2 linked regions of the Mytilus edulis genome follow. The protein of the gene in region 2 binds, or shares a complex with, the protein of the main gene of each other region. Links are inferred from orthologs where the notes say so. Each region holds a gene or a part of one and is shown on either strand. Other genes may lie near its edges.

Region 1 (7,300 bases), on a different chromosome or scaffold from region 2:
GACGATCTTTTTGACCCAATTTTTTGCCTTTAACAGCCCCACATTTCCGGTCATAAAAGTGACATGATGATTAATTACTATCAAAACAACCCCTACTTCAATACTCTCTAATTTTAATCCAAGCTAATTAGTTGTTGGACAGCTGAAAACTACCTGTTCAGATGACAGGTAAACAATAATTTTCAGTACCGGACATCGTATAAATTAATCGGTCTATTCACAATTATTTCCGTACATTTCAGTGGTTTGTATCTAATTGAATTAGTCCAAAAGATTAAATTATAATAAATACATTTATAAACATGATTTGATGAAACATTTAAAAAGATTTTAAATGAAAAATCGTCAGAACTATGTTGCATGAATAAGAACACGTGTGCGCATGTGCACAGGTGGGAAATTTAATTATGCATCCTACATTTCTTCAAAAATGGTAAAATAATCATTGAAACCGGTATCTAACGTTCATTTCAAGTATTTTGTTCAAGAAATAACGTGGAAAGAGCTTCTTCACTCAGTCGTGCTTTGTAAATGTACACGGATTTTACGTATCCGTTTATGGTCCATGTTTTACCATTGTCAAGTCAACATCCGGTTTGGGAAAATGTGTCAACATCCGGTTTGACTTTGAAAACTAAAGTAAATTTTTTGACAACGTCATTTTGCACAAATAAAGAGCCGGCAGATATGAGCACGCTGATGTACACACTTTGAATGATGCACTGCCAATTTTAACAGTTTACATCAGAACATCAAATTCATATCAAAGTAAAGTTTAATTTCGTTTTTTTTAATCTAATGTCAATCATTGGGATGGCCATTTGATTACCATAATTGCCTTTTGTGACTTAGTCTTAGAGATTAAAATTGGAATCAGATATAAAATGTCCGGCTGGCTCAAAATTTTTTTAGAAGCCCTGGGCCAAAGACAATTAATTCTAATCTTGTAAATAACTCTTTGTAGTTCATACAATACTAGTTTGAGACCATGGAAAACAGATATATTTTTTGTTTAATCCATGTTCTTTATAATACATATTTTCAGAATTAGTGAATAGTCTAAAAAATCAAAATTCAACCAGACAATTGATCGTCTTTGAATCCTTAATCACATTTGTAAGTAATATTATAGTTCAACCATTCTCAACCATCTTCTCGTTTGTATTACAGTAAATCAAGTTTTGTTCTATTCCAATATGTCATTTAGGTCGATGCAAAGCACTAATTCAGGCATGTCAGGAGCAGGAGGAGTGGTATGTAAATTGCCATTTTTATAAAAATTTCTTCCTGAATCCTTTCAGAAATTAGTTCATATTTTCGTATTTCCTTAAACACATTACGAGAGAAAGGTGTGCAAATGCACTGGAACAATGCCTAGTTGAATTATTGCTGAAGTGTAGTATTTGTTTGATGTGAATAAGATATAATGTTTATCACATGTATATATGTAAGTGTAAAAATATAAGTGAACCAACACCTGAAGTGGTGATTAATATGTCTACAATAAAGACAACAACACTCAAGTTTTTAGCGCAAAGTATCTGTTTATTTGGTCGACATGTTTCACCTATAAATAGGCCTCATCAGGACCTGAGTGTTATTGTCTTTATATAGTCGACATATTTATGTAACTGTATAATTACTTTGTGGTACATCTTTGTCAGGATATAAATTTTTATGTACATCCATTGCAAAGTCCACCATGTTTGTATTACTGAGAAGATCCAACTTCCCTTTTAACATCTGTTTTTCATCATACAGCTGAAAACATAAAAATATTTTCTTAACTATAGACTAATATATGTGCAGTGAGGGTTATAGACAACACAAGTATCTCAAACATTTATAACGGTAGAAATCAAGTTATTTTAAAACATTCATCATTACTTCTAGTACTTTCAATACTTTTAGTTACCGAAGAAGATCTCACAAGGATTTCCTAGTGACCGAGAGATATGATGGTAGTTCTCTGAGTTGCGATTCTTTTTGAATTATATGTCTCTGTTATTTCCAAATGTTTGTACTTTTTCTATGTATAATTATAAGGATAATTTTTATCATCAAACACCTAATTCTACAAATAAATAGCTAGACTTTAAGAAACTGAACATTGTTTTGACATTGAACATTTTACTAACATTTCCAGTTACTCTGTGCTTGATGAGGGATTTCTGAAAGTGGTCAAATCAGAAATGAATCTAATTCTAGTATACACCTTATTGCTATTCCCAACTGACCAAAGAATCTGTCCCGCTTAAACTATTGACTGACGTCATATCACAATCACTTTTCAATAGTGGCGTCAGATATTTTGTATTGTGGCGTCAGAACTTTACAGGAACCTGTGTATTGTCCAGTAATGGCAGGAAATAGTGATGAGGTGCATTAATCTAAGATACACGACCATAAAAGGGATTACGTCTGGTCTTAATTTATAATTTTCAATCTTGTTAATATAGGAGAGTTGTTTGTAGTTCTGGTTTGCTATTTTATCTTTTTTTTTATTGTTAATATCTATAAAATAATTCAAATCGAAAGTACCGGTATCGGGTTTTATATGGTCAATACGGAAAGGTTATCTATGAGGGGGGATAGGACCTTTATCGGGACTACGGGATCGGGTGTTTTTAAGCTCGGGATTTCGGGATTGACCCTTTCGGGATCCGGGAATTCTTTTTTCGAATTTCGGAACCTCGGGATTTCGTGTTTTTAAGCCCGGGATTTCGGGATTTCGTATTTTTAAGCCCGGGAATTCGGGATCAGGACCCCTCCTACCCTCCCTCATCTATGACAGATCATCTATGACAGATGGGATAAACATTCATTTGAATCGTAGCTCGGGATCACGATACGTTTCTTTCTGTGTCATGTATGTTTATTATACTACTTACTTCTTTCACAGATAAAAATTCTAGTAAAGGGAAGACCAAATGACGGTCTAAATACTGTCCCATTCGCGAAGTCAAGTCCCATTCCGCCATGCTGCCGGTGCGCTTGTCAAAAAGGATTATAAATCATAAAACAAACGTCGGGTACGGATAGGAATATTCTTTGTTTTTTTTATACAGTTTTTTTTTTTAAAAGCATGCATAACATTCAGACGCAATTGCAATTTTAGAAACAAATGGGTATAACAGTAAATTTCTTACCATATATTTTGTATATATATTCGAACGATGAACAGGAAAGCGGGGCTAATATTTATTCGGATTTCCGAGCCTTTCAAGGACACGGATTTTGATAGTCTCATTGTAGAACACTTGCTATTTTAAACTCTATAGATATAATATCCCCACTCGATGTTTAAGTTTCCAATTATTGTGTAATTGCTATTTTGTTTAATTTTTTTTAAAGAAAGAGGTGTATAATTTGACTTCATTATAACCGTCACGCATTCAACACAAAATGGATTCAGTGTTAAGATGTCATAAACAGTCAGAGAAAAACATGACTTTGTGAATGCCAAGATACAGGTATCGACAGAATGTAGATCCATGAATGTGTATATGTATATAACATACTAGTAATATTTAGTTTGCTTTTAATTTACTGATAACAAAATCAATAGTTATACCAATAAAAACAATCATTAAATGATTACAGTGTAACACTGTAATCATTTAATATACTGACCAATAAAAACAATCATTAAATGATTACAGTGTAACACTGTAATCATTTAATGATTGTTTTTATTGGTATAACTATACTGTTGAATTGGTAACCTTTTAGAATAACTTTATTTAAAGGAGCGATCAGTTTACAAGGATCATTTCTAAATTTCCGGGCACGGTTAACAACATTTCCGTAAAAATGAAGATGTGCTATCCTGTTTGAAATAAGTTTCCTACAGGTACAATCAAACTTCAAAATCAAATTTTTATATCTATCGGAAATTTAATAAAGATTTTAAGTAATTTATGGATATACATTACGATGATCCCTGGTTTAATAATTTACCAGTAATACATAGATTATGTTCGTTAAAATCAAAAACGTCACAACAGACACGGGCATAGCGAACGAGCTGTGAAATATAAACACTTTTACACTTACTGGTCTCTTGGAAATGTTGTTTGTGCTGTATTGAGACCCTTCTACAACGATGTTTTTTACATGCAGACGTATAAAAATTGCGTTTTTTTATCCAACGCAATCATAGGTTTGGACGTTGTTTTCAAAAGTTTAGACTTGTTTTAATATATATATCCGAGATATATCTAAATGGAATCTCACTATATATATATATTGTATTCAACATGATAGTCCATTACGCTCTATCAGTATTATAAGAGACATATCGGCTAGCCTGTATTCATATGTCTCTGGCTCTATGAAATAAGTTTTATGGCTTTTTATGTTTTCATGCTACTTTTAGAACTAGTTTAGCCTATTTATTTGTCTGCTTTGCATGTGCTTATAATCTAGTTTAGTGCTTTACTTGATTGTACTTGCTTTTATATATAATTATATATGAACTCAGTTGCGTATGCAATATAGCTGTCTTTATATTGTCTATTGTGTGTGCTGTATATGTCCTATATATGTCTTGTATGTGTTGTTGTTGTTATTAATGTCGACAAAAAGCTCTACAGAGCTTATGTTTGTAGTATTTACAACCCGACATAAAATAAATTTTCTTATCTTATCTTGTCTTATCGAGCTATAAATCTAAACTAAACAGATTTTTTCAGTTCTTTCTTATTTAAGTTTAACTTTTATTTTAAAGGAAAGTATACTGGGACCTATGATTTGTATAGTACAAATCTTTGCTGTGACCATGGAAGCAATACTTCCATGCTGAGACAAATAAAAAGCCCAATCAATACATTACGGAAATATTTTATGCTGTGTCCAGTGGCAGATTTTTATTTAGTCATCATATTTTATTTTCGGATAAATATTTTGCGGTCTTTTACACTGTGTAAAGAATCGTTTTGATAATAACTTTTTAAATTTAGTTTGATTTTCCAATGGAATTTTGTACCGCACAAGTTCATTAGTGTTCCGAAAAGTATTCGAAAAGTTCGTAACGACGATGAAAGGTCAAGGCTGTTCTAACTGGAAGTGTTCGATTTTTGTGATTCATTAAATTAGTCGCTGCATCAAATGCAGCAGGTATGAGCAGGCCTGGCCTAAGAAGTGGGAGTGCTGCCAACTGTACCAACCAGGCGACCTTGAATCGAGAAATGGCACGGAATGAAACTGACGAAGGAGGACGGCAACGTGAGATGGCAGATCAAGACGATGAAGATAAATGCAGTGAAATCAAACCAAACCAACAACAAGCCAGTACAAAATTTCAGAACATTCAGTATGATTCCCAATTAACAGAAAATGGTATATATATATATTTATATGTAACTTTTAGTCATGATACTGCAACTTGTAAAAAAAGTATTTAATAAGACTGGTATAGTGGTATATAATTCGTGAAATTATGATATAAAATTAGGAGATCTACATGTGATTTGCTATTGAGGCAACCATCTACAATGTATAGGACATGGAGGTAAGCATTTATTGGGCATTGTACATGATATATCCTTTAACAATCAACAAATCCCATACTGTGTCTGTATAGTAAGCTAGTAATTTAGTCAGACTCAGGTGGCCGGCTCAGGTGGTGTCTGTCGAAAATTATCCCACAAAGGGTAATGCATGTTTTTTCATGCGACTCCTTCCTACATCATTGACATTGTACATGTACAATATAACATTAAAGTCATTTTTTATGCTGAACTCCTCTTAACTTTAAGACCGAATTTGACATTTTCTCTTCAATGACAAGTAAAATTTTTGCTTATATACATGTACAAACTCTTACATTATTAGTACCTCATCTGCATGTTTTTGAAAATATCCAAAAGTATCGATAAAATAAGTTATAATTCCATCCAAGTTAGGTATGATCTGGGAACAGTATAATATATATATGTTCCTGGTATGCTGAACTCCTCTTAACTTTAAGACCGAATTTGACATTTTCTCTTCAATGACAAGTAAAATTTTTGCTTATATACATGTACAAACTCTTACATTATTAGTACCTCATCTGCATGTTTTTGAAAATATCCAAAAGTATCGATAAAATAAGTTATAATTCCATCCAAGTTAGGTATGATCTGGGAACAGTATAATATATGGTATGATATACTTCTTTTTTCAAATGGTTGCCCAGATTTTCTAAGATCCTTCCCCACAAAAAAATCTACATACCAAAATCTGAATTTATTTAATAAATTTCAGCCTTTTCAGGAGTAAAATTGAAAATGGAGAATGCGTCAAAGAGGCAACAACCTGACTATAGAGCAGCTAGGCCACCAATGGGTCTACAAAACAGGGAGAAAATCCTGCTTGCAGAGGCATGCTTCATCTGGCCCCTAAACAAAAATGTGTACAAGTTTAGTGATAATGGACATCATACTAAACTCTGAAATATATAAATGAACTGAAATTAAAAATCATACAAGACTAACAGAGGTCAGAGGCACCTGACTTGGGGCAGGCCCTTAAATGTGGCAGGGTTAAACATGTTTTGTGAGATCTCAACTCTTTCCCCATGTTCCCTACACTTTTTAGTTCTAGCTAATGTAGAAAAAACAAACACACAGCAATACGCACAGTAAAACTCAGTTTAAAATGTTAAAAGAAGTCAAAGTCTGATGTCAGAATATATATAGGTAACAAAAGAAACTAAACAAAATGACAATGATACATAAATTAACAAAGGAGTGTTTCCTTTAAATGTCACTTTCCCGCCAATTTCAGCTTGTGCAGTTGCCAGTTGTCAAGTTTTTTATAAAAATTGATATCAGCTATTTTTAATATTTTAAAGTATTGTGATCATGCTGACATGGCTGATGTGAAGTTTATTTTTTCTGATTTTCAAAATTTAAAATAATTGAATAACTGAGAGGTCAGTCTCCAGTGGCAGATCCAGAACTTTTCATAAGGGGGGGGGGGGGGGGGGGGGGGGCCCACTCCAGTCATGCTTCAGTGATTCCCTATATAATCAACCAAATTTTTCCCGGATCCGCCTATGGTCTCCTTTTAAGAATAACTAACTTAAATTTAAAATAACTTTTACTTCATAAAATTATATGATCCTATTTGGAATTGTCAAACATGTTGGTAGAAAAACACATATAGTGGGGGATCCAGAACTTTTTATAAATGGGGGCCTGCTACAGTCATGTTTCAGTGATTCTGTATATAATCAATCAAATTTCCCCACATATAAATGACTGATTCTGACAATACTTTTTAAACATTTTGTTTTATATTTTACATGCTTTTT
Region 2 (7,625 bases):
AAATCTATTTAGAATGAATCTAATGACGGTCATTGGTTTAATTTGGAGTAAACGTCCAAACCAGTACCTTAAACTATGATTAAAGGGAGCCGTGGATAACCTTCAATCATTACCGAAGCAGTATGCGTGGTCTTTCATTTAGAATTATTTTACTTTATGAAAACAAGATGGATCAATCGCAGAAAAGTGTTTTCATCTGAAATTGAACCTAGCAAAGCGATGGCTTCTGCATCTGTCGATCTGATGTAACAACATAACTAGATCTTACAAGTATTTGAAAGCTTGCAATATGTTACTAAACGGTGACCAGATCGTCTGACTTAAATCGCGCTAAAACTAAAATAGAAACGGAAAAAATGGCTTCTGAAATTAACCATGAAAAAAAAAACTTCAAGGAAGTTTAAGTGAATTCGACGAAGGTTTAAGTAATTGTTATGTAATAAATTTTAACGTCAGACTGTGAAGGCCAAAAAAGATAAAAAAAAAAAAAAAAAAAAAAAAAAAAAAAATACGGGAAAACTCATCATATATATATAGAATGAAATATTGACTGGGGAAAATTAGGTGAACGTTCGTCTGTAATTCCCACTGCTCACGACGTACTTATCATAGAAATTTAAACTGTGAGGTCACCAAAGGTTCTAAACGCCTAAATAAAATAATTAAAAATACTAATCAGGAATAACCTTTGTAATTTGAAAATAAATAAAAATGGCCTACAACACGGAGTCTTGGCTCACACCGAACAGCAAGCTATAAAGGTTGAATACTTAAAATGCTTTACTTGATTTTTTGTTATGGTTTGACCATCAATTTTCCTAATATGATATCGTTCTTTCAGATTATTTTTTTTTACTTAATTGGCTTTAAAAGTTACAATGCATGATGTCGTCTGTTTATGTAGTTCATATGTGTTTTTCGTTTCTCGTTGGTTTTCCCGTTTGAATGGTTTTACACTAGTAGTTTTGGGGCCCTCTATAACTTGCTGTTCGGTGTGAGCCCAGGCTCCGTGTTGCAGGTCGTACCTTGACCTATAATGGTTTACTTTTATGAATTATTACTTGGGAGGAGAGTTAAATTGTCTCATTGGCACTCATACCACATCTTCCTATATCTATCTATATCTATACATTTTTTTTTCAACAAAAGAATATATCACAAGAATATAAGTTTTGTAAGAAACGTGAGAAATTGTGTTGGACTTGAAGATAAGGCAAAGTGACAAATATCTGAAAGAATGAATCGTTTTATGGTATTAAACAAAGAAATCAAATGATTTTTTAATTATCCAGAACTCTTCACAAACAAAACCCACATGTATACGCATTGAATAAATAGTAGGCCATTCTTAAATGATCACACCGTAGAAGTAGTTGTGCTCTTAATCAATGAGATATTTTGTGAATTAACCCCATCAACTTAATAGTTTTTTTTTACAATGGATAAACCTATTTTTTTTATTATTATTAAATAATATCATCTCTGAACATTATTATTCTTATAAATGACACGGTTGTATGTGATGATTATAATAAATATTTAAAACAAATTCCTTTCAAGCTTTGTAAAAAGAAAGTTTCATTTTATGTATCGGAATGTGTAACAAGTGAATATTTCAATCCCCACTGGAAGGCCTCTGACAGACTGGGTGAGCATAAAATCATAGCCGTTGACAAACAAGTTACAACCTACAAACGTTTTACTGTCGACCACACTGTTATGCAATTAATTCTAATTTCGTCATTATGCTCTGGATAGTCATTTGAGCATAAACAGTTTTTGTCCAGCTACCGTAAAATTTCACAAATGTTTGACAAAATTATTTATATCTTAAAACTAAACTACGTAATGAACCTGCATGTACATAGTTATAATATTGGCACTGCCGACGAAATTGATGATCAAAATAGCTCGCTTTCGCGACATAAATGTCAATGGCTCGACAAAAAATAAAAGTCACATATCCATAGGCGGATCCAGGGGGGTCCCCCCTTAGGTCAGTCAGCGGGCCCCCCTCCCTTAGGAAAAGTTCTGGATCCGCCACTGAATCGAATCTTAGCTCATAATGAATTGCTTGAAAAAAATAAGGAGAGAGAGTAGATTTAGAATTTGACAGAAATAATATGAAACTAATTTTCGTCACTTTTATTCGCAATTACAAGCCATTGAAGAAAGAATTAAAATGTTGATGTACTGTTAACCAATTCCTTTATTTTTATTTATATGAAAATATTTTTTTTAACCAAATTCAAGTGTACGCCAGGGCGTTTTGACGTAAACGTAGCTCCGCGTATGGTTAATGTGCTAAAATTGCAGCACATCTGTCGCATTTAACAAAGTTTTGTGACTATATTTCCTTTTGTTTTCGTATTAAAATCATTCATATCTTTTATCATATTTTCTAATAACGTATAATATTAATATTACATTTGTACGTTAAATCTTTAACTATTATTTTGCGTTAATTGTTTTCCATATAAAAGTCATCCTCCCTCTCTTTACATATAGATACTAAAATACAATAAAATCTATATCATAGAAATCTCTACAAATTTTTCAATAAAATAAATGTGTTATGATGGTCCTAGGACCATCGTAGTTAGGACTATCCTAAGACAGCTTTGTTTTACACCCTAAGACATGTCTCAGACACGACCTAAGACCATCCTAAGTAATGTCCTAAGATATATATCCTTGGATACTTTCATTGACACGGCCCCTGATGTTATTTATGTATTATTGTCATTTTGTTTATTTTCTTTGGTTACATCTTCTGACATCAGACACGGACTTCTCTTGAACTGATTTTTAATGTGCGTATTGTTATGCGTTTACTTTTCTGCATTGGCTAGAGGTATCTCATAAACATGTTTAACCCCGCTGCATTTTTGCGCCTGTCCCAAGTCAGGAGCCTCTGGCCTTTGTTAGTCTTGTACTAATTTAATTTTAGTTTCTTGTGTACAATTTGGAGTTTAGTATATATGGCGTTCATTATCACTGAAAAAGTATAATATATTTTTGTTTAAGGGGCCAGCTGAAGGACGCCTCCGGGTGCTGGAATTTCTCGCTGCATTGAAGACCTGTTGGTGACCTTCTGCTGTTGTCTTCTCTGCGGTCGGGTTGTTGTCTCTTTGACACATTCCCCATTTCCATTCTCAATTTTAGTCTCAGGTAGGGATGACGCGGCCGGATATATTTCACTGTATTCTAGTCTAATAATATTAATTTGTAAATTCAATAAAAAAAAAAGATGAATGTTTGTCTAAAATTAACCCATAAGGTTCAAATACATATATGGTCCAGTTCGTCCTAGACCATATATTTAATGTATTTTAATTATGCCACTTGAAAAAATGAATATAACTTTGGTAAAATAAATACGAAGGGCTTCATGATCAAGCACCTGCCGGAAGACACAATGTGTTTTAAATAGACAAAAGTTTTCCAACTGATCTAAAGTATACAACCTCTTTAAACTAAAAGTATAATTGACACATATCATCGTGTAATGTGTTTTCGTACTAATAACAATTTTCACTGCTTACGGTTTTTACTGTTGAGTTTTTATTTAGGTGTTTACTCAGATTTAAAAAGCATGTCCTGTAGATTGATTTTAGGTATCTAGTTTTTTTGTCAATGATTTCTCTACGATTTTTTACTGTTTCCGATTACTTTGCGATTTTTGTATGTCAAAAAAACGGCGTCATATGTTTTCGTATGAAATAAAAATTGGATCAGTACACGGACAGGAAATGACTACAAAATCCGGAAATAAATTTTTTCTAAAGTCGTGGTTCTGGTGATCGCTTGAATCATAAAAAAAGTTATTAAATACTTTTCAGTACTAAAAATTACTAGTAAATAGTGTAAGGTTGGTGTTTCGTGTGATGAAATTTTTAGATTTTGATTAATTTTCAGATTGGCACCTGGTTTGTACAAAATACATTATTTTTTCTAAAATAAAATGCAGTTTTCAAAATTTATGATTAAATATAAAAAGTTAAGACTGTTTTCATCTTCATGTATCAAGGATGTATAAAAAAAAATTGTCAATGAAATATTGAATAGTTGGATTTTGAACAACCATTTTATATAAGAACCCTGCTAATTTTAACTCGATGGTTTGTAATTAAAACGGCCATAAAAACACATGACAGTCATATGTCTTGAAGATCCGGTGTCTGACTTGCAAAAAACATATCTGGACTTTATTTTAACCCTTCAGAATTTTTTTCCACAACTATTCTAGTGATGCGTATTTTTGACATTAAATAAAAATGGCTAAATAGGTCAGTTTTATTTAATTTGTTCTAACGTCTTTAAAAAGCGACGTTGAATATGTTTTAAATATATCAAGTTGTAGTGGTGTTGTTGTTCTAAATATAGAAACAGAAAAACATGCCACAATGTACGCGTATGCAGTCGAAACCGACGAAATGTGGTTGATACGAAAACATATGACATACGAAAACATATGACACGACGATATTTTAAATAACGATTGACGAAATCTGAGACTACTATATGTGTTATAGTAGTCTCAGACGAAATTAAATTAAAAAGACGGATTCACGTACGGGGTTATCATGTTTTCCGTCAAAGTTTTATAGAAGAAACGTACCATGATCTCTTTTTAGTTATATCATGCCCTTTATCTAATGAGTCGGCCATTTTGTACTCCACATGGCCGGGAAGACACAGTGAAGTGCGACCTAAGAAATTTTTTATCGGTTTAATACATTATGCACATAAACTGAAAAGATGCCAACATATTTCCAAAGACCAGAGAATGCTCTGAAAAGAGCTAATGGTACTAACCTCTTAACAAATACTCTTCTTTACTTGATGTTTCAATATTTGCGAATAATGATAAATTACTTCTTCTTCTTTAGGTTTTCAGTAGTCCTTCAATGATCTGAAGATTATTTACTGTTTGCGCGCGCAGCGTGGCCTATATATATATTTACAAAAACAAAAGGGCCAAAACAAAAACAAAAATATTTGGAAATAAATTTGAGGTGCATAATTTATTAAAATTGTGATTAAAACTATGTACATAGGCTAATAATGAGTTAGATGAATTTGTGGAGAACAGCTGGTGTGAGCTGTTCTCTGAAAGTGTCGACTGTGGCGACAGCGACTGTTTGCATTGGCAATAAGTTCCACTGAGTTATGGTATATGGAAAAAATGAGTATTTATATGTATCTTTTTTGGTTGAAATGTGTCTAAAAGTATAATTATGGTTTTTGCGTGTTCTACTGTCTGATGGTATGAGAATAGCCGATGGTATAGCTACGATTTGATGTACTATTTTATAGAACATTATTAATCTTGTGCGAGTTCTTCTTTCCTGTAGAGTTGGCCAGTTTAGGGTGTTTATCATATCTGTCGGGCTACTGATGTTATGGTATCTGTTACAGACATATCTGGCAGCTCGCCTTTGGACCATCTCGATTTTTGAGGTTTGTTCAACTGTGTGAGGGTCCCATACTGAACATGAATATTCCAGTTTAGGACGGACTAGTGCCAGATATGCCTGAGTTTTGATGTTCTGACATGATGTTTTTAAGTTTCTTTTTAAGAAGCCCAGAGATTTGTTGCCATTAGCTATGATGTTGTCTGTATGTTTAGACCATTTTAGGTTTGCTTGAAGTGTAATGCCCAGATATTTAGCCGAAGAGACAAGTTCCAGTTTGTGATTGTGAAGGATATAGTCATGTTTAAATGGGTTTTTCTTCTGTGAGACTGTAAGGACTGTGCATTTGTCTGGATGGAAAGCCATCAACCAGTCTTGCTCCCACCTAGCAGCTGCATCTAAATCTAACTGTAGTGCATCACAGTCGCTTTGAGATTTGATGGTTTTGTAGATGATACTGTCATCGGCAAACAGTCTGAGCTTACTGGATGATAGGTATTCTGGTAGGTCGTTAATGTATACCAAGAATAATACTGGGCCCAGAACTGTGCCTTGAGGGACACCTTAGGTGACTGGGGCTAGGTCAGATGACTCTCCATCCAGGACAACTGTTTGTGTTCTGTCATTTAAGAATGCAGAGACCCAGTTTAAAGTTTCATTTTGGATACCGTAATAGTGTAATTTATAGAGTAATCTTTTATGAGGGACTTTGTCAAAGGCTTTGGCAAAGTCCATTATAATTAAGTCAATTTGAGTGTTGTTGTTATTATTTGCTGCAAGTTCTTGAATGAATGAAATGAGTTGTGTTTCGCAAGATCTAGACTGACGGAAGCCATGCTGGAGGTCATACAGTATGTTGTTCTTTTCAAGATGGTTGATGATGTGTTTTGTGATGATATGCTCCATAAGTTTACAGGATATACATGTCAATGATATAGGGCGGTAATTTTCTGGTTTATATTTTTCCCCTTTTTTGAATGCTGGTGCTACATTGGCGTGTTTCCAGTCTGATGGTGTAATGCCAGTTTCAAGAGATGTTTTAAAGATAAGTGTGAGAATTGGAGCTGTTTGGTCTTTGAGTTCTTTAAGTATTCTGCCGCTGATGTTGTCTGGGCCAGTTGCCTTATGTGGGTTTATATTGTGTAGGAGTTTCTTGACACCAGGTAAGGATATTTCAAGTGATGTTATCACAGGGTGTGAGCTAGGACCTTTGTCTGGAATGGTGTTATTTGATTCTGTTGTAAACACTGATTGGAATTGTGTGTTGAGGATGTCTGCCTTTTGCTTTGTGTCAGCTATTAATTGTCCTTCTTTTTTTAGAGGTGCAACACCGGTGTTATCTGTGCGCAGTGATTTAATGAAGGAAAATAGCTTTTTAGGTTTAGACTGATTGTTGAATTGTTGGTCTGGTTCATTTATGGGTAGGTCTAAGATCATTTTTTCAATATAACCCCAGTATGCAGTTCTTTGTTCTTTTTGTACTTGTTTTTTCAGATGTCGGTACTTTTCAGCATACTTGATGTCTTGTTTCATTTTATAATAGAGCTTGTTTTTTCGATTGCCATATGTCGTCGACTACGAGTCTACTTATCTTCTGTGTCTGCATTAAGGGTCTTGTAAGGTCGCGTGAACTATTGATTAATATAACAAGAAAACAAATAATGAAATATGATTACTTCTCAGTTAATTATTTTTCCCGCTCCATTTATGATGCACCTTATCGCTAATCCCGGCTGAACCGGCCAAATAGCGATAAGGTGTATTGTAGCTTAGGTTAGTCCATGTTAGTCCCAAATAATACACCTTATCGCTATTAGTCCGCCATTACTGGATATCACATAAAAGTTTGACGTCATATAACAAAATATCTGACGCCACAATGGAAAAGTGATTGTTGTATGTGTCTAAAAGTTCAAGCGGCCGAATCCAGGTCCGTTAGCGCCCATTCACGTTCGCATCCACTCATGTTCGCCCCCTTTCATTTCCGCCCTACATGTTCGCGCCCAATTTTAATTGGTTTTGTGTTTGTTTAATAACTTTGTAATCAAGTTTTGGCAAGTAGTATTCTTATAAGTATAATTGTTTTCATGGTCTCAAAATAAAGTGAGACCGCATTTTTTTTTTTTGTGTTGAATAAATCTTAATCATGTTTTGGATAGTGTATTGTTAAAAAAAATTATATTCCTTTCTAAATAAAGTGGAATTCTG

The links. Proteins that work in one complex are often made in the same cells at the same time.
Region 1: eukaryotic translation initiation factor 3 subunit A-like (region 2) and eukaryotic translation initiation factor 3 subunit E-A-like share a complex: the UniProt entries of both Drosophila melanogaster proteins name them as parts of the eukaryotic translation initiation factor 3 (eIF-3) complex. The link is inferred for Mytilus edulis from reciprocal best matches to the Drosophila melanogaster genes eIF3a and eIF3e.

What each region holds. Positions count from the first base shown.
Region 1 is NC_092344.1:103,022,284-103,029,583, reverse strand, and holds the start of eukaryotic translation initiation factor 3 subunit E-A-like, read right to left. Parts: upstream 3,024-7,300; 5' UTR 2,982-3,023; coding exon 2,892-2,981; intron 1,762-2,891; coding exon 1,644-1,761; intron 1-1,643. Other genes in the region: E3 ubiquitin-protein ligase RNF146-like, read left to right, coding at 5,121-5,340. UniProt on the Drosophila melanogaster protein: Component of the eukaryotic translation initiation factor 3 (eIF-3) complex, which is involved in protein synthesis of a specialized repertoire of mRNAs and, together with other initiation factors, stimulates binding of mRNA and methionyl-tRNAi to the 40S ribosome.
Region 2 is NC_092347.1:68,643,047-68,650,671, forward strand, and holds the start of eukaryotic translation initiation factor 3 subunit A-like, read left to right. Parts: upstream 1-4,606; 5' UTR 4,607-4,761; coding exon 4,762-4,810; intron 4,811-7,625. UniProt on the Drosophila melanogaster protein: RNA-binding component of the eukaryotic translation initiation factor 3 (eIF-3) complex, which is involved in protein synthesis of a specialized repertoire of mRNAs and, together with other initiation factors, stimulates binding of mRNA and methionyl-tRNAi to the 40S ribosome.